6 linked regions of the Canis lupus familiaris genome follow. The protein of the gene in region 1 interacts with the protein of each later gene in a pairwise test. Links are inferred from orthologs where the notes say so. Each region holds a gene or a part of one and is shown in the gene's direction. Other genes may lie near its edges.

The links.
Region 2: the proteins of TEX11 (region 1) and CCDC198 interact in binary tests that used the Homo sapiens proteins (3 or more experiments, as listed by UniProt). The two-hybrid records come from large-scale screens. The link is inferred for Canis lupus familiaris from reciprocal best matches to the Homo sapiens genes TEX11 and CCDC198.
Region 3: the proteins of TEX11 (region 1) and CDKN1A interact in binary tests that used the Homo sapiens proteins (3 or more experiments, as listed by UniProt). The link is inferred for Canis lupus familiaris from reciprocal best matches to the Homo sapiens genes TEX11 and CDKN1A.
Region 4: the proteins of TEX11 (region 1) and HYI interact in binary tests that used the Homo sapiens proteins (3 or more experiments, as listed by UniProt). The two-hybrid records come from large-scale screens. The link is inferred for Canis lupus familiaris from reciprocal best matches to the Homo sapiens genes TEX11 and HYI.
Region 5: the proteins of TEX11 (region 1) and ING3 interact in a two-hybrid assay, tested with the Homo sapiens proteins (2 studies listed by BioGRID). The two-hybrid records come from large-scale screens. The link is inferred for Canis lupus familiaris from reciprocal best matches to the Homo sapiens genes TEX11 and ING3.
Region 6: the proteins of TEX11 (region 1) and MAD1L1 interact in a two-hybrid assay, tested with the Homo sapiens proteins (2 studies listed by BioGRID and IntAct). The two-hybrid records come from large-scale screens. The link is inferred for Canis lupus familiaris from reciprocal best matches to the Homo sapiens genes TEX11 and MAD1L1.

Annotation. Positions count from the first base shown.
Region 1 is NC_049260.1:55,268,688-55,272,187, reverse strand, and holds part of TEX11 (testis-expressed protein 11), read left to right. Parts: exon of another isoform or gene 1-269; intron 270-521; exon of another isoform or gene 522-611; intron 612-787; coding exon 788-909; intron 910-2,753; coding exon 2,754-2,839; intron 2,840-3,500. UniProt on the Homo sapiens protein: Regulator of crossing-over during meiosis. Involved in initiation and/or maintenance of chromosome synapsis and formation of crossovers.
Region 2 is NC_049229.1:33,319,767-33,323,834, reverse strand, and holds the start of CCDC198 (uncharacterized protein CCDC198), read left to right. Parts: upstream 1-1,268; 5' UTR 1,269-1,461; coding exon 1,462-1,684; intron 1,685-3,954; coding exon 3,955-4,037; exon of another isoform or gene 4,038-4,042; coding exon of another isoform or gene 4,043-4,068. UniProt on the Homo sapiens protein: May be involved in tuning the metabolism, energy expenditure, and excretion processes.
Region 3 is NC_049233.1:5,926,990-5,931,028, forward strand, and holds the start of CDKN1A (cyclin-dependent kinase inhibitor 1), read left to right. Parts: upstream 1-1,239; 5' UTR 1,240-1,359; intron 1,360-4,039. UniProt on the Homo sapiens protein: Plays an important role in controlling cell cycle progression and DNA damage-induced G2 arrest. Involved in p53/TP53 mediated inhibition of cellular proliferation in response to DNA damage.
Region 4 is NC_049236.1:16,826,926-16,831,106, forward strand, and holds HYI (putative hydroxypyruvate isomerase), read left to right. Parts: upstream 1-1,381; 5' UTR 1,382-1,422; coding exon 1,423-1,621; intron 1,622-1,700; coding exon 1,701-1,812; intron 1,813-2,020; coding exon 2,021-2,152; intron 2,153-2,747; coding exon of another isoform or gene 2,748-2,813; coding exon 2,814-2,928; intron 2,929-3,081; coding exon 3,082-3,160; intron 3,161-3,251; coding exon 3,252-3,301; intron 3,302-3,396; coding exon 3,397-3,466; intron 3,467-3,588; coding exon 3,589-3,723; intron 3,724-3,834; coding exon 3,835-3,908; 3' UTR 3,909-3,988; downstream 3,989-4,181. UniProt on the Homo sapiens protein: Catalyzes the reversible isomerization between hydroxypyruvate and 2-hydroxy-3-oxopropanoate (also termed tartronate semialdehyde).
Region 5 is NC_049235.1:59,197,551-59,201,819, forward strand, and holds the start of ING3 (inhibitor of growth protein 3), read left to right. Parts: upstream 1-1,469; 5' UTR 1,470-1,531; coding exon 1,532-1,559; intron 1,560-1,806; coding exon 1,807-1,878; intron 1,879-4,269. UniProt on the Homo sapiens protein: Component of the NuA4 histone acetyltransferase (HAT) complex which is involved in transcriptional activation of select genes principally by acetylation of nucleosomal histones H4 and H2A.
Region 6 is NC_049227.1:15,036,169-15,039,668, forward strand, and holds part of MAD1L1 (mitotic spindle assembly checkpoint protein MAD1), read left to right. Parts: intron 1-2,395; coding exon 2,396-2,536; intron 2,537-3,500. UniProt on the Homo sapiens protein: Component of the spindle-assembly checkpoint that prevents the onset of anaphase until all chromosomes are properly aligned at the metaphase plate.

The DNA of each region.
Region 1 (3,500 bases):
TTGAAGTTCTGGATGTATTCATGCTCTAGTTTAGCCTGGAATTTCACTTTCTTCAAGGCAATGGAGCCAGGGAACAGCATGTCCATAAACTGACAATAGGCAGCCCCTGAGCACAACTGTTCAATCTTTGTCAGATTCAGCTGCAGAGACTCATTCATCCAGGCCAGCATGTCATGTCGACTTAGGTTATCACTGGTGATGGATGTTGAGTATACGTTCACTTTGGCTCTTGGTGGGACTGTGTCCACTGCCTGTGCCTGGCTTTGGTTCTGTCTTCATTTCATTCAAACCACCCAAACTTTTTATTCTATCTTTAAAAAATATTGCTGAACCAGAACACCTGGGTGGCTCAGCGGTTGAGGGTCTGCCTTCAGCACAGGGTGTGATCCCGGGGTCTGAGATCGAGTCCCATGTGGGGCCCCTTGAGGAGAGCCTACTTCTCCCTCTGCCTAGGTCTCTGCCTCTCTCTCTCTGTGTGTCTCTTATGAATAAATAAATAAAATATTTTTAAAAATGCTAACCATATTTGTATGTTTTTGTTCACTTTTGCAAGTATATCCATGGGATAAATTCACAGGGGTGAATTGCTCAGTTGGGTATTTTTCTGACATTCAAGTCCTCCTTGACATTTTAGCAATTTAGATGACTTTATGAAAATTAGCTAATATTTTAAAGGTATTAGTGCTCTTAATATTAATTCCAAAGTCACTGTATTATAATTAACCATATATAGCTATTATCTTTGATAAGAATATCTCATTTTTTATATTATTTCTTTCCTTTTCAGCTTTGCAGGCAATTACTACTTTGGAGAAATTATTAGAAGAAGATCCAAAAGAGAATGAGCTACTTACAGATAGAGATTCACCTGTCATGCTCCTCAGTATAGCTGCCCATTTTGCTCTAGAAGTAATTCTTATGTATTTATCTACAAGATTTTTACCTCTTTTCCATTTTGAGAGACAATTAATGGAACTCTTTTAGAGGAATTTTCTACAAAGAAAAGAAATTAGTTGGTAGTTGGTGTGAGAAGTAGGATGAGAAGTTTGTTTGAGATGGAATGAATGAGAATGCTTATATGCTGATGGAAATGACCCAGTAAGAACAAAAAATTGACAGTGTGTAAGAAAAAAGAGAATTGTTAGAGCAATGTCCTTAAACAAGCGAGAGGTGATGGGCACAAGTGTATAAATTCAGGGATTGGCTTTACAAAAGAAAATGGTTAGTTCATCCATGAAAGCAGTTGAGGAATTAGAGTATGTGGTATGGTTCCTGGTGTACGAATAAATGTGGTAGTGGGAATCTGGAAGCTTTTTTCCTCACTGCTTCAGGTTTTTCAACAAAGTAGGAAACAAAGTCATTGCCTGAGAGTGAGAATGGGAGAGGAGGTGTTAGGGAGTTTGAGAAGATAAGATAAGGTGTAAACTAATCATGCAGGAAGGCAAGAAAGCAAATGACATGGTAGTGTGGGGTGCTTGCTTGCCCAGTAAGTATTAAGGCCTATTTGATGAAGTTTTAAAATAAAGAAATAGTTGTACAGGTTTTTATCCAGCCACCTTCAGCTCCATAGATATAGGCACAAAAGTCAGTAGAAAGTTGAATTTAACCAGGTTTAAGGTTTTGCTGGATGAATACAATGGAGCAAAAGAGGAGTAGCAAAATCAAGAAACAAGGAAGTGGTTATAATTAATCCCCATGGAATTTAAACTAAACATGGAGGAGGACATCAAGGGGATAAAGGACAGTGAAAAATTTGTAGCATGAATGGATTGGAGGTCTAAGTGCAGTTGAAGGATTGCTGGAGTAATAGAAAGGAGTGAATTAGAAAGGTAGGAAATAGTAGTCAATAGAATACATGAGACAGAGCAGGGTGCAGGACTAGAATGAGGAAGTGAGACACTTAAGGAAGCACTCACTTTCTGAGTCATGCAAGTGTAAAGTTGGTTCTTGCAGGAGTGGTTTTCAAGAAAATAACTTTGCAGTAGATAAGTCATCAAGAAATGAGAAGAAATGGCCTAAGAGCTGGTGGATCAGCACAATGAGGAATGGTGGGTGATACAGTCTGATGACAGGAAATTCGAAGCTAGGGATTTAGGGAGGAAAAAGGAAGAATAATTTTAAAACATCAATGAAGAACAAAAACTACACCTACTTCATCTCCAGGCCTAGGAGTAGAAGGGAGACAAAAGAAAAATTGCCACTACATGAGGGGGTTCTTTGGAAGCAATCCTTGATGGGATCTAGATTTCTATTACAGAAAGAATGTGGAGGGAACTTTCAGGGAAGAGGTTGCTCATAGAGAAGATTTTGATGATAATGAACTAAACTTCAGAGAGTGTAGTAGAAAGATTGGGGGAGTAGGGGAGAAATGGGAAAAGAGTAAACGGGGGATTTATAGAGCTTTATGGAGACTGGGGTGCTAGAAATAATCTGGAGTCTGGGGTTCTTTCGGTTACTGCTAATGAACAGGGATAAAGAGCACAGTATTAATCCTAGTGCATTCATGGCAGTGTTGGCAAGTCTATGAGTATTTATGGATAGTGAGGAGTGGGTTTCTGGGGCCAAAATGAACCTATTCTCCTTTTGTCAATGAATTGTTTCTTCATTCTACCATCTTGAATTAGCTCTTTTGATAATATAAAATGAACAAATTCAGATTTTTTTTCTTGTCCTTGAAAGGACAGGAATATAGGTAACATTTTGTAAGTATCACTTTGAGATGTAATTTAACATATTATATTTGTCTTTTTTAGAATGGACAACAAATTGTGGCAGGAAAAGCTTTGGAATATTTAGCTCAATATTCAGAAGATCCACAACAAGTCCTTACAGCTTTAAAGTAAGTAATTCATATCCTGTAGATGTGGAAGGATTTCTTGTTAATCTTAATCTTGGTCTATAAACTTTGTCAAAATAGTATTGATGTGATGTCATCAGGCCTACTATACCAATTGTTATTTTAAATTTTTTCAAGCTTTATTGAGATATAATTGACAGATAACATTGTATAAGTTTAAGGTGTATAACCTGATAATTTGATACATGCATATATTGTGAAATGGTTAACACAACAAAATTAGTTAAATTATTCATCACCTCATGAAATTACTATTTCTTTGTGTGTGGTAAGAACATTTAAGATTTAGTCTCTTCCCAACTTTCAAATATATAATACAGTCTTGTTAACTGTAGTCACCATGCTCTACATTAGATCCCCAGAACTTGTGCATCTTATAATTTGAAGTTTGTAACCTTTGACCAACATTTCCCCACTTCTTCCACACCCAGCTTCTAGCAAACACCATTCTATTCTGTTTCTATGTTTTGCTTTTTAATTCTTAAAGATTCAATACATGAGTGAGATAATACATTATGTCTTTCTTTGTCTATCTTTCCACAATGCCCTCAAAGTCCAATAATGTCACAAAAGGCAGGATTTCCTTCTTTTATATGGCTGGTTGGCTCAGTCGGTTAAACATCTGACTCTTAATTTCAGCTCT
Region 2 (4,068 bases), on another chromosome or scaffold:
CCTTTTCTTCCAGTCTTATTTTTTGGCCTATTTTCAAAGCATTGTTAATAAGCTATCTTTGAAAACCTAAGGCTTATTTGAATCCTTTATTCTAGAAGTTTGTCCTCTGGGTATGTATTCAAAGAAAAAGAAAACACCAATTCAAAAAGCTATATATGCACCCCAATGTTTATTGCAGCATTATTTGCAATAGCCAAGATATGGAAGCAGCCCATGTGTCCATTGATAGATGAATGGGTAAAGAAGGTAAAGAAGGTATACATTATTAGAATACACACACACACACACACACACACACACACACACTGGCCTATTAGCCATAAAAAAAGAATAAGATCTTGCCATTTACAACATGCATAGAGCCAGAGTATATCATGCTAGGTGAAATAAGTCAAAGAAAGACAAATACCATATGATTTCACTTATTTGCAGAACCTAAAAAACAGAACAAATGAACAAAAAACAAAAACAGAATCATAAATACAGAGAACTGGTAGTTGCTGAAGAAGAGAGAGTTGCGGTAATGAGTGAAATAGTCAAAGGGGATTCAGAGGTACAAACTTCCAGATATAAATAAATTCAGTAAGGCACAGGGATGAAAAGCACAGCATAGGGAATATAGTCAATAACATTGTAGTAACATTGTATGATGACAGATGGTAACTATGCTTATCATGGTGAGGACAGTGTAATGGATAGAATCGTAGAATCGCAAAAAATAAAAAAATTTAAAAAAAAGAATCGTTGAATCGCTATGTTGTTCACCTGAATCTAATATTAAGTTATACCTTAACTACAGTTCAAAACAAAGAAGAAGAAAAAGTTTGGCCCCTTGTTGTTGTCTCCCTGCCTTCCTGTAATGTATTAATCCCCTTCAAAGGCAATTCAAGGTATTGAAAGAAAAATAAAATTATTTTAGCCACTCTGTTGTTACCTATCCTATATGGAAAATAAATTCTTCAATTAAAATTAAAGATTAACGAATGATGATTAGTGTGTATCCTCTCGTTTCTGAAGATGATATAGCTATTCTTCAATGGTAGCTCTCAAAGATGGTATTGAAGGGTACATGCAATAGAAAGTCAAGTTTAAGACGTTTGTAAACCTCTGCTCTCCATCCCTGTTAATGGCCTTCCCGGTGTTAGAGATTTGTTTAATGATCAACAGTGGTTTCTGTTCCTACCACCGAGTCTTTCAGAAACTAGCGTAACAAGTCAATGTTTAACCGGATTCTTTGGGTCTGAAGTGGCAGAGTAGGAGCTAAAGGGACGTCTCCATGGAAACCAGCCTCCCAGGAAGTGGCCAGAGGGTTTACTGTGTGGTGGAATAAAGCTAGAAAGATGCCATGAAGTGCTTTGTGAAGCTGGGATAAAATTCTGACCTACCTTAATTAGAATAAGCTAAATTCAAGGCCCCAAACCACTTCCCTCATGATTGTACTTTGAATATCTTTACCTTGAAATGGGCCTCAGCCACTCTAAGGCTCACCCTCGGGTGACCAGAGTAGCACCCTTGCAAAACAAAGAGGTAGAGACTCCCTCGGCCAGTCCCGTGGATTTTGCATTGAATCAGAATCTGGAAGAGAAGAGTTCCTATTTGTTCGCAAGACTGCAGGACCGGAATAAAGCTTTGGAAGGGCAGCTGCCACCTCTACGAGAGACCTGGTGTGGAAGATACGCTGCAGGTACGTGTAACACCTATCATGAGATTTGTGTATTTGGACCAATGGAAGCTATTAACAGATGTACTTGACTGTCCGTCTCCATAATCATATCAGAAAATTTCTAAATTGCTGACTGTAAGGGAACATCTTTCAAGCTGCAAGCGCATGTCTGTCAAGTAGTCTGGGTGCATTAGAATGAGTGTGTAAACTCTGCACCCAAGGGCTTTTTACCATTCCACACGAGAAGAAAAAAATCGTTTGGTTTCAGCTTATAGTGCTTTCAATGTTTACACCTAGCTTTGCCAGATGATTAAAATTATATAGATAAGATGTGATAAATTATGACAATCATATGTTTCAGTTAGATTCTAAATTTAAACCATTCTCTCCAGCACCACTTAGTGCATCAGGCTTTGTTATTTTGAAAGCAACACTTGAGGAGTGAATTCACCCTAATGTGAATTTGGAAACCACCCCAAACAGAATTGATTTATTGCAGTACAGATGAGAGGATGAGTCACCCCCTCCCCAACCCCACATTCTTCATGCAGAATATGAACTAAGTTCTGTCATCTGGAGAACTAAGAGAATTTTTCCCATTATGACTGGAAGCTCTGTGCCTGGAGTGGCTATCAATTATCCTGGAATATTTTATAAGACATGTAAAATTTTTTTGACAATCACAATGACAATTAAGCAGAGATTCTAACTTGGGAAGAGAAATATGAGTATATAATGTATACATATGTTTATCTATGTAGTATATCTATGTATTTTTTTCTTTATTTATATTCTGGATCAATAACACAAGTAAGTTCCCATTATTAGTCAACCTGACCAGAAAGCTTTATATTCTCTTTTGGTATATCTGGTAGATCGTACCCAGACTGATTCTCATAGCTATTCTCTGTAGAACTGACCAGCTTTGACTGGGTAAATGGCCTATTTTTATGTTCTCCAATTTCATAAACATGTGGGGGGGAATTTTCCTCTAGTTTCATTGAAGAGTTCCTTTTTTATCCAAACCCTCTATCCAGAGTTTTAAGATTCTGGTAACTGAATAGTGAAACTGATTCTAATGCATTAGAGTCCTACATGGAAAATATTCTTATTTTTGAAATGACAAAATCACATTACAAATAACAAAGGGATGCTGAGCATTCTGATCACTAATTTCAGGAGACCCATACTCTAAGCCCAGCTCCACCAAATGCCAAATTATATGAGTTTGGGCAAATTATTGCATCAGTTTCCTTCACCTATAAATCAAGGATAAAAATAACTGCCCTGACACAGCCAATGCTGTTTTGGATGAATCAAAGTAAATAATGAGGTGTTATCACTCAAATCATAATATTAAAATAAGGAGTTGTTAGGCTACTAAAAAAAATGTTGCCAGAAATACTTACATATTTTTAATACTTACGGTTTCTAATCAAAAATGTTTTTTGTTGTCATTACTGTTGTTTCTGTCTTGTTCAATGTGCCAGCATCTCTTGAAAGAAAATATAAACATGGTGAAGTTTTTAAGGTGGTCATTCAAATGCTGTAAGGATAGAAACACATAATTACACAGGGATTTTTCCATTTACAATGCAAAGTGAAACTATAGGTTAGTCCATGCAACAATCTAGAAATTAGAATGCTTCCAGATTACTAAGAGGAAAAGACAAAACTTCCTTCATGCAGCGTTGGTCATGGTAGTAGTCCTAGCGCCCCATGATCATGTTGTATGATAGGGCGACTTGTGGGAATTTCTTCTCTAGCTGGGGGGACTATTTAATTAGGTACATACAATGCTAAACATTGCTACTTCTATCACAAACTCATGCTCCATTTTTTAATCATCTCCTATCTATCCACCATCCAACTATATCATCTGAGAAGAGAATTTATTTTCATTTCTTAAGGATATATTATTTCTGATTTCCTAAATTTATTTTGAATAGATTTCATGAAATTTAAACAAACGGAAAAGTTTCTATTTTTCAGACCAAATTCTATGTTTTAACAATATTTGTAGTCAATACATTGTTGATTTTTCCAATTTTCCTCTAACTATCAAACTAGAGAAGAATTCAATAAATTAAATCCTAGGTCTAAACTAATGTTTTACCATTGGCATTCATGTAGGACCCCTGCCTTATGTGTTTCATCTCCATATTCAACATATAGGTTGCACATATATAACTAAAAAGGTACCAAATCATATTAGTGAAGTCTAACGATTAACCTAATTTAATAGTCAATTTTTTAATGGTTTGTTTTTATTTCTCTCTCAATCCTTCAAGTGCCCAGGGCCATGTATTTTGACATTCCACTGGAACACGGAGAAACAAGTATTATTAAAAGGCATCCACCCCGAAGACTTCAAGTAAGATGAATTTAAAAGGCTTCATAAGGAA
Region 3 (4,039 bases), on another chromosome or scaffold:
CGGATTGTGCGGGGGAATATCCAGGAGATAATTTGCTAACCAAGTCCTTCCCCCTTCCTAGCTATCAAATCTGTTGCAATCAGAGGTGCCTGGGTAGTTCAGTTGGTTTAGCATCTGTCTTTGCTTCATGATTTTGGGGTCTTGGTATCCAGCCTGGAGTTGGGCTCTTTGCTCAGCAGGTAGTCTGCTTCTACCTCTCTCCCTACTTCTCCCCCTTCCTCTGCTCCTGCTCTCTCTCTGTCTCATTCATAAATAAATAAATAAATAAATAAATAAATAAATAAATAAATAAATAAATAAAATCTAAAAAAAAAAAATATGTTGCGGGATCCCTGGGTGGTGCAGCGGTTTGGCGCCTGCCTTTGGCCCAGGGCGCGATCCTGGTGACCCGGGATCGAATCCCACGTCGGGCTCCCGGTGCATGGAGCCTGCTTCTCCCTCTGCCTGTGTCTCTGCCTCTCTCTCCCTGTGTGTGTGACTATCATAAATAAATAAAAAAATAAAAAAAATCTGTTGCAATCATAGAGATCTCTATTGTTGAGGTGAGAAGGAGGTGGATGTGGGCACGAGGAGGAGGGGTAGGGAGGTTGGTTCAATGTCCAATTTCCCCCATTTCCTGCTTTCCCCTGGAGACCTGGTTGACCTTTTCTGAGTATTCCCCATTCCCTCCTTCCCCGGGGGCATTGGGCGAGCAACAACTTTGCATCCGTTTAGTCCTGAGGTCCTTAATTTCTTCATCTGTGAAAGAAGGGGGATCGAATCCGGTTCTGGTCTCCAAGATGCTTTGTTGGCGTGTCTGGGTGCTTGGGAAGAGGCGGTCTAGTGAGGGGTCTGTGGGAAGACTGGCGGTATAGTGGGCTTTTCTGGAAATCGCCGAGCGAGGCACATCCTTTATGCTTTTATTTATGGAGTGTTATCTATGAATGTCACCCCTCGTGATCTTCTCGGGGCCAGAAGAAGGGCTCATCCTAAGAATGCCATCCCTTCGTGGGGAGTGCCAACTCCCAACCCAGCGAAAACAACCCCGGTCTGTGGCTCAGTTAGTGGGGAAACATGTCAAGCACAGGGACCCAGGCGCGGGGCGCGGGGCGCCGGGCGCGGGGCGCGGGGCGGGGAGGGAAGCGCCCCCCTGCAGCCCGCGGTGTAGGCGTCTGACTTCGGAGGTCTCCAGCCGCCGGCGAGTTGCGAGCTGCGGCGGCGGACGGCGGCAGAAGGGGCGGTGCCAGGCCTGGGGGCGGGGCGGCCGGTCCCTATATAAGGCGGCACCGGGCGGTGCCAGCTCGCGAGCTGCTGCGGGAGACGGTGGCTTGGAGAGCGGAGGCGGGCGCGGATTCGCGGAGCCGGAGACCCTCGGAGGAGGTGAGGGCGTTGTGGCCGGCGAGGGGGCCTGGGCCGGCGGCTCGGAGCCCGGCCGAGGTGTCCGCCTCGTGTGTGTGTGTTAGTGTCCCAGCGGGTGAGTGTGTGCGTGCGCGTGCCGTCTTCACAGGTGAATGACGTGCGTGGGTCGGCGCGTGGGGCTGGGCTCGGCTCCCACGGGTGTCTCCGGAAGGTGCGCTTGTGCCGGAGGTCGGGCTGTGTCGGAAGCCCGGGGCGGCGGGAGCGCAGCAGAGCGGGGGATCCCCTGCCGCGCCCCCCGCCCTGGAGCCAGGGGAGGCGTGGACTCGCGCGCCCCAGGCCCCCGGCGGCGCGCGGAGGGAGCCCCCGGGCGCGGAGCCCCCGGAGGGGCGGGGAACGCCGAGCCCGGCAGGTTCACCGCCCTCCGCTCCCGGCGGCTGCGATCCAATCCGCGCCGTCTCCGCCCAGACCCCTGCGGCCGGGGTCCCCGACGCCTCCGCGTCCGCCACCGGCTGGGCGCTGAGGTCAGCGCGGGCGGCGTACCCCCCCCGGTCCTTGGGAACGTGTTGGGACACATCCTTTCAGGGCAATCGAGGAGGTGACTCACGGTGACAAGGAGACCCCGGGAAATGGGACGGGTGCGGTCAGAGCCCCGCCCGGGCTGGGGGACAGTGGCGCCCCAGAAGTCGGCTTCCTCCCCGCCCCGGGTGTCTGTGCCCCGATCGGCACAGTGACTGTTTGGCTGGCACAAAGTGTTCTCAGGGAAGCCGGGACATCGGGAGGTCCAGGACTGGGTGTCCGGTCCCCGCCTCGCAGCGCGCCCTCGGGGACCCGGAGCGGTGGCCCTGCGCGGGCTGGGCTCGCTCCAGCCGGCCCGTGGGAGAAGAACAGGGGTCGGACACACCTGTCCTCCTTCGCGCCCCGCCTGCCCTGGGGTCGGGGCGCCGCATTCCGCAGCGGGAGGGGAGACCTGCGCCGCGGGGCCGCGGGGCGTGCAGCCCACGCGCGGGGCGAGGGACCCGGAGAGGTCCCATCTGGAGGCTGGTCCCACCCTGACGGCCACATCCGGGGGCTCCCGGCGCCCCTCGCCAAACTGCCCTGTCCGAGGGCGACTGCTCAGCGCGCAGCGAGAGGACGAGCCGTCCTTTGGGCGCCGCCGCCCAGCGCGGGCCACCGTGCACCCCCCCCCCCGTCGGGGGCCCTCGGGGGACACGGGCGCCCGCCTCTTGCGGAAAAGAATCTTGGAATTGGGTTTGGCGCTTTGGGGTGCCCGGGCGGCTCCCTCCCTGCCCCCCCTTCCCTGCCTCCACGTCGCGGTTCGAGGACTGTCGAGCGGTTCTGTTTTCCTTGCTTTCGTCTATTTTTATTTTCCAGGGATCTGACTCATCCCGTGCTTTGGGCGTGGAGATAAGGTGGAGGGACCAAACCTCTGCGCGCCTCTGCGTGCGGAGTGTGTGTGTGTGTGTGTGTGTGTGTGTCACGGAGGCGCGCGCGTTTTTCCAACAGTGGCGGGGCTTTCGGAAGCCTGGCTGGCTCAGCGTGACGTGTTCGCGGCCCCCGGTCCGCCCCCCGGTCCGCCCCCCGCCTCCCCTCCCCACCCGAGGGTGACGCTGCAGCCCGAGCGCACGCAGAGTTGTGGCGGGCGGGGAGCGCTCCGCAGGAAACTGACTCATCGCTGCTCGCGGCGGCGGCTCGCGGCTCTGCCCACACGCCGACCCTGCGCGTGATTTCCTGGAGACCGGCGCCCCCGTCCGGCCCCGAAGCGAGTAGCAAGCCCGCCTTCCCTTCCCGCCTCGCTGCGCCGCGGCTGAGCCTGAGCCGCAGCTGCGAACGCCCCTGAAAAAGCATGACCCGTTGGCTCATCGCGGGGTGCTCAGTGCTTACTGGTTACTTCGGAATTAAAACTGGCTGAAGTCTAAGACACGAAGGCCAACCAAGGATGCTATTCTCGGTTGTTTGTGAAATAAGGGTTTATATTTGACTTTTCTCTGAACTGGGAGTTACGATAATGGGAATGAGATCAGATTTTGATGAGGAGCCTATGAGGGCCATAGGGTGGTAGGAGAGAGGATCCTTGCCTGGATTCTGGTCCCATCTTGAGCGCCTAGAAGCCTGGGAATACTCAGCCTCCTGGTGAAAAGCCAAGGCAGGCTCCTCCTCCTTGTGCCAGTGAGGCCATCCTGTGTATCCTCTCTTGAAAGGCACCCCAAGAGTGCCCATATGGGGAACTGCCAAACACCTGCTTAAATCCCCTTTATTTTATTATTTTTTAAGATTATTTATTTATTTATTCATGAGAGACACACAGAGGAGGCAGAGACACAGGCAGAGGGAGAAGCAGGCTCCCTGCGGGAAACCGGCTGTGGGACTCTACCCTTGAACTCCGGCATCAGGCCCTGCACCGAAGGCAGATGCTCAACTGCTGAGCCAACCAGGGGCTTAAATCCCCTTTAGTTTGAGTTATTCTGGGAAGAGAGGGACCTATCAACCTGTATTTTTTAAAAAGCTCCCTAAGTGATTCTGCTGGGCCTCTGGTTAGGAACACAAAACTAGAGAGGGAGTAAGGATGAACACCAGAGCACGGAACCCAGGATAAACAGGCCTGGGTTCAAATCCTGGCTGTGCCACTTGTGAGCCATGTGACCTCGGGCAAGTTACTTTACTTCTCTGAGGTCTTAGTTACTTCTTCTGTTAAAAAAAAAAA
Region 4 (4,181 bases), on another chromosome or scaffold:
ATAAATCCTAGGCTGCCTGGGTATGGGACTTTGAAGGGTACTGAAGAACACGGGGAAATGCCCACAAGAGAGCATCACATGAAAGAGCAAACCATACAGCTGCATGTACAGTGTGATAAGAATTCTAAGAAAACAGACCTGCTTATGTTTATTTTTTAATCTGTAAGGGAAAGCTAACGGTTAGTGGTGCGATGACTGTAGTGAGTTAAATGTTCTTGATTTCGTCTCTTAGCTTTCAAACGTCGCAACACGAACTGATACTATTTTTACAGTGAGGGGGAAATACTAAGTGTTAAAGCTCACGTTCCTCAACTGGGTCTCTAGGGGCTGGTCAGCTGGCGCGGGCCCTTCCCTCCCGGCTCTCCGCCCAGGGGGCCCGGGGCCACGTCTGCCCTCCCGCGGTCGGAGCGGGCGGGGGCGGCGCCTCTCCCCGCGTTTCCCCTGCTTCAGCCTCGAAGAATGTCACTTTTCTGGACCAGCCGCAGTCTTCACCCCACACTTTTCTAACCAAAAAAGTCTGGCTTTTGGCGCCCTACCTCGGGTCGGGCTCCCCAGATGCACTTTTCCCCGGGATCCGCGCAACCCTGTCCAGCCTGCCTCCGCCCGGGATCCGCGCTCCCCGCCCGGTCCGCAGCGCCCTCTCCGGGATCCGCGCTCCCCGCCCGCCCCGCTGCACCCTCCCCTCCCGGGATCCGCGCTCCCCGCCCGCCCCGCTGCACCCTCCCCTCCGGGGATCGGCGCTCCCCGCCCGCCCCGCTGCACCCTCCCCTCCCGGGATCCGCGCTCCCCGCCCCCGCCCGGTCCGCAGCGCCCTCTCTCGGGCGGCTCCGCGCTCCCCGCCCGCCCCGCTGCACCCTCCCCTCCCGGGATCCGCGCTCCCCGCCCGCCCCGCTGCACCCTCCCCTCCGGGGATCCGCGCTCCCCGCCCGCCCCGCTGCACCCTCCCCTCCCGGGATCCGCGCTCCCCGCCCGCCCCGCTGCACCCTCCCCTCCCGGGATCCGCGCTCCCCGCCCGCCCCGCTGCACCCTCCCCTCCCGGGATCTGCGCTCCCCGCCCGCCCCGCTGCACCCTCCCCTCCGGGGATCCGCGCTCCCCGCCCGCCCCGCTGCACCCTCCCCTCCCGGGATCCGCGCTCCCCGCCCGCCCCGCTGCACCCTCCCCTCCGGGGATCGGCGCTCCCCGCCCGCCCCGCTGCACCCTCCCCTCCCGGGATCCGCGCTCCCCGCCCGCCCCGCTGCACCCTCCCCTCCGGGGATCGGCGCTCCCCGCCCGCCCCGCTGCACCCTCCCCTCCCGGGATCTGCGCTCCCCGCCCGCCCCGCTGCACCCTCCCCTCCGGGGATCCGCGCTCCCCGCCCGCCCCGCCTACTTCCGCTCCCCGAGCGGCCCGGACTCTGCCCTGCTGCAGGGCCCCCGCCGGCCATGGCTCCGCTCCGTTTCTCGGCCAACGTGTCGTGGCTGTTCCCCGAGCTCCCCGGGCTCCCCGCGCGGCTGCGGGCGGCCGGCAGCTCGGGCTTCGAGGCGGCCGAGGTGGCCTGGCCGTACGCGGAGCCGCCCGAGGCAGTGGCTCGCGCCGCGCGGGAAGCGGGGCTGCGGCTGGTGCTCATCAACACGCCCCCCGGTGCGCCGCGGGGCTGGGGCGGGGGCGGTGGTGAGGCCGGGGCGGCGGGCCGGGGCTGAGGCCCGTTCTCTCTCCGCAGGGGACCGAGAGAAAGGGGAGATGGGGCTGGGGGCCGTCCCGGGGAGGCAGGCGGCCTTCCGCGAGGGGCTGGAGCAGGCAGTGCTGTACGCCCGGGCCCTGGGCTGCCCCAGGTACCCTCCCGTCCTCCCTCCTCCTCCCCCTCTCGCCCGGCCTCCTCCAACACCCTGCCCCGCGGTTGGGGTCTGGGAGAGAGCACCCAGGTTGCAGAGGGTCCGGAGTCAGTGCCCGGGCCCTTCACTCCTCTAGCCCCGAGCCTTTGTAAATCGCCTTTTGTGTCTTATTGGCCCGTGTCCTCAATTTGCTCCTCTTTCACGCTGGGACCCCATGCCCGGAGCTGGCCTGCCAGGGAGAGAGCAAAGCCAACCACCGAGTGGTCCACTTGAGTAAGGGTCAGTTTATGGTAGCTGTGGGAGCCAGCAGACACCTGTCGGGGAGCAGAGCCGGATACAGGTAGTGATGTTAAACTGGGTCTCAAAGGAATGAACAGGTGAGGGGCACTGGGGCAAGGATGCAGTGGCCAGAGACCGGCGCGCGTGCTCAGCAGAGTTCCCGAGGCTCAGACATTGCCTTTGGACTTGGGTGTGGCCAGGAGGGAGGAGGTGATGGCAGGAGGAGGCGCGGGGCTGATCAAATAAATGTCAAATCCCGCTGAAATGGGCTGAGCTGGAACTGGCAACGGGGGTCCTCACTGGTGAGTGGTGGGGGCAGAAAGCAGATGGGAAGGACGGAAGGAACAGATGCCGGAGGTGGAGACAGGCAGCTCGGAATATTTAAGGGAACGGGTCAAAGTACTTGTTAGCAAGTGAGGCCGACACACGTTTATAGCCCAAGGAGAGGGCGACTGGGAAGGAGAGGTGGAGAGGACAGTGAGGGGTCTCTGACGCAGGAGGATGGTGTGACCCTCAAAGGTGTCTGGAAAAGGGTTTGGCCTCAGGCTGACACAGGAGGATCAGTCAGGCCACTGAGCATGGCGGCCAGGTGACCAGCTATTGGGGTGCGGGCGGGTAGAGGTGGGAGCACAGCTGGAAGGGGCGCACCCAGGGAGCCAAGGAGCAAGGGCCCTGTTTTCAGGATGGACTCCCCAGCCCCCTCCAGTGCCATCTTCCCCCAGGATTCACCTGATGGCTGGCCGAGTACCCCAGGGGGCTGACCGAGCAGCAGTCAGGAGTGAAATGGAGACCGTGTTTCTGGAGAACCTGAGGCACGCTGCTGGGGTTTTGGCTCAGGTGAGGCCAAGGCCATAGAGCCACACACATATGCATGTGAACGCCTGTGTGTGCAGAGGGAGGGGGGCGCTGGCCCAGCTCAGAGGGAATGGTGAGGCGCTTCAGTGGCTGGCTGACAGCGGAGCTCTGCTCACTGGTCCACCGTGGTGCTAGGAGAACCTCGTGGGACTGCTGGAGCCCATCAACACCCGCATCACAGACCCCCAGTACTTCCTGGACATGCCCCAGCAGGGTAGGACTTGCAGCCCCGTGCCCCCTCCAGGCCCCTTTGATTCTTGGGTTCCCCCTGGGGCTCACGGCCCCCTCCCCGGGCTCTCTCCCAGCGGCAGCCATCTTACAGAAGGTCGGAAGACCCAACCTCCAGCTGCAGATGGTAAGTGGAACAAAGGGAGTGCTGCTCAGGAGGCCCGTGTGCTCCATGTCTGGGGAGGACGGGCCGCAGGGTGTGATCCAGTATTCTCTACCCAGGACTTGTTCCACTGGCAGATCATGGATGGGAACCTGACAGGAAACATCCGGGAGTTCCTGCCCCTCGTGGGTGAGAGGGGTCTCTGATCTCCTTCTGGTCTGCTGTGCTACTCCTGTCCTCCCCCCAAAATGTGTCCATCGGGCCTCAGCTGGAGCCTGGGTCCCACACCTGCCACATCTGTCTGTCTCCAGGGCACGTGCAGGTGGCACAGGTCCCGGGCCGAGGGGAGCCTGACAGCCCTGGAGAGCTGAACTTCCCCTATCTATTCCAACTGCTGGAGGACGAAGGCTACAAGGGCTTTGTGGGCTGCGAGTACCGGCCTCTAGGTGAGGGGGTGCTGGGGCTCCGGGCCTGGCCCTGGGGAGGGAGCTCTGGAGGGACAGCTGCTCTACTGCTCTTCTCCTGGGGTGAATGCCACCGCCTCCCCCTCTCCTCAGGAGACACCGCAGAGGGCTTGAACTGGCTTCGTTCCTACTGGGAGAGGCGGGGCCGCCCACAGGCTGGCCAGTGAGGTCCTGCCCCACGCGCACTTGTAGGACAGTGCACCCAGCATCCTCAATCTCTAGAATTAAAGAGCTGCTGCTGAACGTCTCTCCACGCGTGTGTTATTGGGTGGGCGGGGGCGCAGTGTCTAACCCTGCAGGCTCCGGCTCAGGTACCCCAGTCTCTGGCACCAGTGCTGCAGTGCACGTGGGGGGGTTTGAGCCCACCTCCTCATTTACACACCAGAAACCAGAGGTCCGAGAGCAAAGGGACTTGCCTGTGGTCACAGGGGCTTCAGAGG
Region 5 (4,269 bases), on another chromosome or scaffold:
TAAGCATGGTTTGAACTTTTTTTTTTTTTGAATGGTAAGAAGGAAGGAAACAAAGAAATGACTATGGACCTAGATTCACCACTGAGAAACCACAGAAATATCCAAGAGATCTTAAAGGCAGCCGGAAGGAAGGAAGGAAGGAAGGAACGAAGAAGGGAGTGTAGGAGGGAGGAAACCCGAAAATCCTAGATTTTAGATAAAAGTACAGAAAGTAAACTAGGTAATCATTAGAATTGAGGTGGGTTTCCCTTGACATTCACCAACACGACAGGTGAGCATCCTGACCATGAGCGGTGGAAAAAGTCTTGGGTAGAAGAGGGCGGAAGGGAGAAAACTCAAAAATGCATCAAATGTCTCGACTCCAATTTGAAAAAAAAAAAAAAAAAAAGAAAAAAAAAGTGAAAATAGAACACTGAATGGCGAACTGAAGACACATTTCCCAGGAAAACGAACAGAGAGCTAAGGCAGGTGGGAGAGAAAGATGCTCTCGACCTGTGCTGCGTGCAGATGTTCTTAAGAAAAAGAAAACTGAGCCGTGAAGGACCGAATCCATCACGGGGCGGGGAAGGGGTCCCGGGGTAGAAGATGACCCCTCCCGCGGGTGTAGACAGCTGGGGGCGGGCTGCTTACTCAACACCGCCTGAAGTCATTCTTAGAACAGCTCATTCGACAGCAGCAAGTCTCCATCCGTTATTTCTGCTTGTTCTCTAGTTCTGCTTTTTTTTTTTTTTTTTTTTTTTTTTTTGGTGGGTGCACTTCGTGCGTTCAGCTCGATGACATCACGGTGACGACGAGCCGGACCGCGGAATAAAAGCAGGTAAAGAGCGCGTGGAGGGCGGCCACCCGTCCAGGTGCAGGAAAGCCAAGCAGGCGCCTCGTGGGTATTTTGAGCAGTCGGAGACTAAGGATGCGTTCCAGCCAGGAGTTCTGTCTTACACAATGCGGATCGCCCGAACTCCGCTGGCCGTTCCGGCGCTGGAACACCTTCCACCTGCCCCGCCCGCCTGGAAACCCGCGACTCCCAGCCGCCGGGGCCACCGAGGCACGCCGGCCGGGAACAGGTGGAAAGTTGCTCCTACTTGGGTTCCGCGGGCGCCTACAACTCCCGTCATGCCCCGCGCCGGCATCAACAAATAAACAGAGGCACCGCATTTCGGATTCCGCGGCGCACGGGGCGCAAGGCCGCCTGGTCTTCGTAGTTGCCACGCCGGTAACCGCCGGGCGCGCCGATCCTCGCCGTGGGGGGGAACCGGACTACACTTCCCACAAAGCCGCGCGGGCGGACTCCGGCCGGCTGACGTCATCGCCCCAGCCGGCCAATGACGGCTCCGGGCGGCAGTGAGGCAAGCGCCGTCAGGCGCCAAAGTGGTTTTTTTTTTTCTTTCTTTTTTTTTTTTTTTTTTTTTTTCCGCCGAAGCCGAGCGGGTGCTGCTAGCGGAGGCGCCATATTGGAAGGGACAAAACTCCGGCGACAGCGAGTGACACAAATAAACCCCTGGACCCCCTCGTTGCCCCAGCTCTAAGGGCCGCGATGTTGTACCTAGAGGACTATCTGGAAAGTGAGTGGGCGGCGCTGGCGGGGGCCGCCTGGGGGACCCGCGGGCGGGCGGGCGCGCGAGCGGCCGGGCGGGCGGGATGGCGGGAGGGAGGGGGAGGCGGGGGATGTTTCTTTCTCACGGTAACTGGCAGCCGGGCTGTGGGCTGCCGGCTCCTTCGCCCCCCCCACGCACGCACGCACGCACGCAGTGACGTCAGCGCGCCCTTCGCCGTTGGCCCCGCCCCGCTGACGGCCTCTCCCTTTGACAGTGATTGAGCAGCTGCCCATGGACCTGCGGGACCGCTTCACGGAGATGCGCGAGATGGACCTGCAGGTGCAGAGTAAGTCGGCGGTTCGCCCGCCCGGCCGCGCGCGGTCGGGGCCAGACCTTCCACCGACGTCGTCGCCTCTGCTCTCTGACTCTCCTCCGGCTCACGGGCTAGTGCATAAGGAGTCGTTTAAAAAAAAAAAAAAAAAAAAAACAAACGCCAAAAAAACCCCCCCAAAACCATAAAACCACACACACACATACACAAGGCAGTGCCGCATCTTGCCTCTTGCTGTCCACGCCGCTTCCCCCTTTGCTTTTACCCGAGGAGGAGGCGCTGGGGCCCGCGTGTGTGTTTCTTTCCCGAATTCAAGACTGGGATAAAAGTTTCTGTGCCTCGGGGAGGACGTAGACACATGCTTTTAACGCACGTCGGTGTAGGTGTGGAGAAGATGGTGGTTTCTGGCCCGAGCCCTTGCGTCCGGAACGTAGATTTCGGCATTTAGACTTCTGCTGAAGTTGGTTCTGCTCAGAATTTTCTGCAGAGCGGAAAACCCAGCAGCCTGGGGGTTGGTGTGGCTCTTTAGTGACCCCGCTGAACTTGGAATGTCGAGTCTTGCAAAGCCGCACCTTGCAGGATGCATTCCCACCCGCCAGCAGGATGATGCTATTCCCCCCCCACCCCCCCCATGAAAACGAGTGAGGAAAATAGACCTTCCTGTAAAGCTGCTTATCTGTTGCAATAAAAGTGATGACTTCTCATCGATCAGTGGTAGCTTGGTAGTCTGGTTCCTTCCCCCTACCCACCCACCCCCCCAAAAAAAATTAACCGTTGTTCTTTCATAGAGCAGTATTTGGTTTATCCGATTGTTTTGTTTTGTTTTGTTTTTGTGAAGGATTTGACTCAAAGCAAGGAAAGAGTCAGTGCCTTGGAAACGAGGAGGTCAACACTTGGAGCAAAATCACAGTTAAAACGAGTACGAATTTACGCCTGTCGTGCTCTGAAAGAACCTCACAGGCCTTCTCCCCCTTTTATGAAATGAATGTAATACAGCCGTTCCGGTTCTCTTGCAGGGATACCATACTGTGAACTACGAGTGCGGAATGAATTACACGTTACACGATTATTTTATTTTATTTTTTTTTTACGTTACATGATTAAAATGTACAATGGGGTGTGCGCTTAAGCCCGGATGTCACCCTCTCTGTAGATGTAGGCTTGGCTGCCAGCAGCGCATCTCGTCTAAATTGATCTAATGTTTTTCTAATACTGTGGATGACATGAGATAATGCAAATAGCCCGTTGACCTAGGTCCTGAAGACCGTCCAACAGATGGTCTTGGAGGCTGTTGGAGCCTGAAGATGGCTCCAACAGAGCAGGGGCTGCCATGGTTACTGACCTGCACTGAGTAGTTTTTATCCAGAAATCAATTAAAGTTGCATTTGTTACTTTAAACAAAACAAAACAAAACAAAAAAACTTGTGCAGTTGATATTAATGGCTGGCCTTCATGCGGTCTGTCCTCAAGAAAATACGTGCCTTGATCCCATTTATTCTAGCTGTGGTTAGGCTATCTACGTAAAATGTTTCTCATGCCACTAGGTTTTTTTTTTTTTGTCCTCGAAAAGTAGCGGTGGAGGAGGATCTGGGTTTGGGGGTATGACTGGGGGGAAAAGGGTATCATGGAAAGAAATCAGAGACCCAGCATCCCTGAGGATCCTGCAGCTCCTGAGGGCCTGTCCTTTCCCCCGTGCTTCCCCACCCCACACTCGCACCCCACGCTTTCATACCCACGGGTGATGAATATAGGTTCCTGAGCCTCTGGTGCGTTCCATGTGGCCATGCGGCATACAAGGTGATGGGCTACGGAAGCCTTCTTTATGTTCAGTGGGTCATAGTGTAGGAGTCTGAACTGTGTGTTTCTTTAGCTTGCCCACAAAATTCATTTTGACTGTCATGTAGTTGAAATGCTAAAGTAGCGTTTTCTATGGGACTGAGCACAGATCTTGATGTCAGATAGATCCGAGTTCGTATTAGAGTTTTGCTGACTTACTCTTTGACCTTGACCGCATTACCACTTCTGAGGGGTTTTCCTTGTCTATAGAATGGAGATCATCTGAGGATTTAAAATAACACAGTTAAACTAGAATTTATAGTATCTGATACAAAGCAGAAGTTCACGAAAAGGTGACTTATTTTTGCTTCGTTATCATTACAAATTTTAAATTCTCTTGTGATTTGTAATTGGATTATACAAATGAGAGGTTTTATTTTTTTATGTTTTTTAAAGATTTTCTTTAAAATCTTTGAGAGAGAGCACACGTGGGTGCAGGCACACGAGCAGGGGAGGGGCAGAGGGAGAGAGAGAAGCAGCCTCCCCCGCTGAGCAGGGAGCCGACTGGGGTTGGGGGCACCCAGTCCCAGGACCCTGAGGTCATGACCTGAGCCAAAGGCAGGTGCTTAA
Region 6 (3,500 bases), on another chromosome or scaffold:
GTCTAAAAAAGTGTTACAATTTCGTTGATGCAAATGTCCAGGAACTTTGGGCTAATTTGTCAGAACTATGGAACTTCTGAAGCCAAGTTCTCACTAAGCTAGTGATATTGAGGGCCTCCTCAGTTTGGGGGATCCCATAGTCAGACTAAGCTGATTAGAGTCTTGTAGCTGGAGGACCTGCGAGGGCCCTGACCTGGTCCTGTGGTGTGCCAGGACTTAGCGGTTTTGTGCCCTACCAAGCTACCCTCAAATGGCAGGTGAGGGAACTAAGAACTTAGAGGTCTGGAGAGTCTGGAAATTTTTGCTTAGCAGTCCTCCCCCCACCCCTCTGCCTCCCCCCCCCCCTTTTTTTTTTTTTAATTTATTTATGATAGTCACAGAGAGAGAGAGAGAGAGAGAGAGGCAGAGACACAGGCAGAGGGAGAAGCAGGCTCCATGCACTGGGAGCCCAATGTGGGATTCGATCCCGGGTCTCCAGGATCGCGCCCTGGGCCAAAGGCAGGCGCCAAACCGCTGCGCCACCCAGGGATCCCCCTCTCCCCCTTTTAAAAAAGATTTTATTTATTTATTCATGAGAGACAGAGAGAGAGAGAGACAGAGACACAGGCAGAGGGAGAAGCAGGCTCCATGCAGGGAGCCCGATGTGGGTCTCGATCTTGAGACTCCGGGATCATGCCCTAGGCCGAAGGCAAGTGCCAAATAGCTGAGCTACCCAGGGATCCCCATCCCCTGCCCTTTTTTTAAGCTCTGGTTTCTGTGGGAAATTGTTTGCAGTCTGTTCTGCTACATGTCAGTGTTGATTTGATACAAACATGTTTCAGTTACTTTCCTTCAAATGCAGTTGGTGTACCAGGAAGATGTGGCCATAGATACGTTTCTCTGGGCTCCTGCTCACTGTGTGGTAGTGCCCATGGGAGCTGGGGGTTGCCGTCCTTTGGAGGGGCTGGGCCTTATCTGCAGGCAGAGACTGGGAAGGCCAGTGAGTCTGATGGAGGGTGGTTTTGGAACCCCACACTTTAACCGACGTGAACTGAAATGAGAGGAAATGTCAGAGGAGTAAACAAAGGGTGGATCTAGGCCCTCAAAGAGTGTGTGGGTGGGGTGGGGGGTAGAGAAGATGCCTTTCTTCTGGTCTGGGATTTCTCATCTGTGGTTCTGCTGACATTTTGGGCTGGATAATTCTTTGTTTTGCAGGACCACAGCCTTGTGGGATGTTAAGGGACATCCCTGGCTTCTGCCCACTAGATGCCGGTAGCAAACACATGCTACCACTCCCTCTTTTGACAGCGGTGTCTCCGGATGTCGCCAAGTCCCTGGTGGAACTGACAACCACTTGTTCTAGCCCAGTGCTTCTCAGACTTTATGCCTCTGAAACCCTGAGACTGTGTAAAAGGGCGATTCTGATTGGGCGTCTCTGGAGTGCAGCCTGAGGTTCTGCATTTCTTTTTAGTGCTTGCAAGCTGCTGTGTTGCCAGCCATTCCTGGAATAGTCAAGCTCCAGTCCGGGTGAGGACGAGGCCCTGACACAGTCAGTGGTTCTGTGAAACTGTTTCGTGGGTCTTCTGAGGGCCTTCAAGGCTTGACCCCACCTTTATGTACCTACCCTCTGTGGTAGGCAGACTTCTGAGATGGCTTGCAAATCCCTGGCCCCTGGTGGACCACACTTTCTCCCACTTAAATACCAACGAGGTTTTGTGGTAGCAGGATTTTGCCAACATAATTAAGAACTGAAATCAGTCGACCTCAAGATGGTGGGCCTGACCTCTCAGATGAGCATTTTGAACCTAGGTGGCTAGGTCAGATAGAACAATCAGCCACATAGAGCAGGAGAAGGATTCTGCATATGGGGGATTGTCCCTTGTTGGCTTTGGAGGTGGAGAGGGCCACATGGCAAGGCATGTGGGCGGGTTCTAGGAGGTGACAGCAGCGCAGGACTGACAGCATGTCCTCCAGCCATGAGAGTGTGGAAGAGGATCCTAAGGCCCAGATGAGTTTGGAGCTTGATCTCAGTGTTGATTTGAGCCTATAAGATCCTGATCAGACAACCTGTGGGTGCCTGGCCTTCTGCCCCCAGAACCTGGCCACTACTATGGGATTTTAGCTGCTAAGTTGGTGGTAATTTGCTACACAGCAATAGGAAGCTAACATGCCCCTTTTTCTCAAACAAACCTACATGCTGTCATCTTAAAGTATACTTTTCTCTTGTTAGTGTTTAGTTTTTGTTTATTGCCTCTCCTCATTTCCAACGAAGGACCCAGCATCCAGCCTTTGTCCCCAGGGCTGAGTTCGGGCCTCGTTGGGGGGTTGGTGTTCAGTGAGTGAGTGTTAGACAAGCCACTCACCTGTTTGGCACAGCTGCTGAAGGTTCTCTTTCCTTTGGGTGTGACCTGATCAGTTGGAAGAACGAGCAGAGTGGATCCGCTCCAAGTCCCAGGTTGTCCAGGTGGAGCGAGAGAAGATACAGATGGAACTGAGCCACAAGAGAGCACGAGTGGAGCTGGAGCGGGCAGCCAGCACCAGTGCCAGGCGCTATGAGGTGGGTGCAAGGAGGTGGCTCTGGCCATTAGGAGCTCTGAGGAGGGTGCAGGCAGCTGGCTCTGGCATCATGGCATTGTGCACACAGCCTGCCAGGCCATACGGCATGTGAGCCTCCTGGCTGGGAGCCTGGGTGCTCAGCCTGTGGGGTGCTAGGGCCTGCCTTCTTAGGCCACAGATAGCAACTATGCATGATGTCCTTGAGGTGGGCAGTGTACAGGGGACAGCTGTCTGCTATGTCTGCCTAGGGAGGTGCTGGTTCTGGTGGGCCTTCCTCTGCTGAGCTGCCTGTTTTCCCTGCTACCCCCAAACCACCTGCCCTGAAGAACTGGGTTATAAATCCAGCATTTTCTTTTAAATATTTTATTTATTTATTCATCAGAGATACACAGAGAGAGGCAGAGACACAGGCAGAGGGAGAAGCAGGCTTCCTTGCAGGGAGCCTGATGTGGGACTCAATCCCAGGACCCCAGGATCATGTCCTGAACCAAAGGCAGATGCTTAACCACTCAGCCACCCAGGTGCCCCCGAGTGACAGATTTAGAAAGTCACCGGTTGTGTAAAGGTCTCAGATCCAGGCCAGACCAGTTTTGTTCACATGGTTATAGGGCCTAAGACCAAGGATTAGTCTTGGGAGTACTTCCTGTTGTCCCTGGCTTAGCCAGGGCAGGCTGTGAAAGTGCAACCCTCCATTACCTAGAGAAGGTACTAGGTTTTTACTGAGGGTGTAAATCTCTTCTTCTGCTTTATCAACAGCACTTTGCCAGGGGTTGTCAATAAGTGCTCATCATTTGCAGAAATGCTGCCAAGACTCGGGCAAAGCACTGGACCAGAAAGTCTCTTATCTGCCTACGCTTTCCCCAAGGGTGGATATCTGGCCCCATTCTTGCCTTACGTGGCATATTTGCACACTTTCTTAGTTACGTGGCATATTTGCACACTTTCTTAGTCTTGTAAGAATAGTG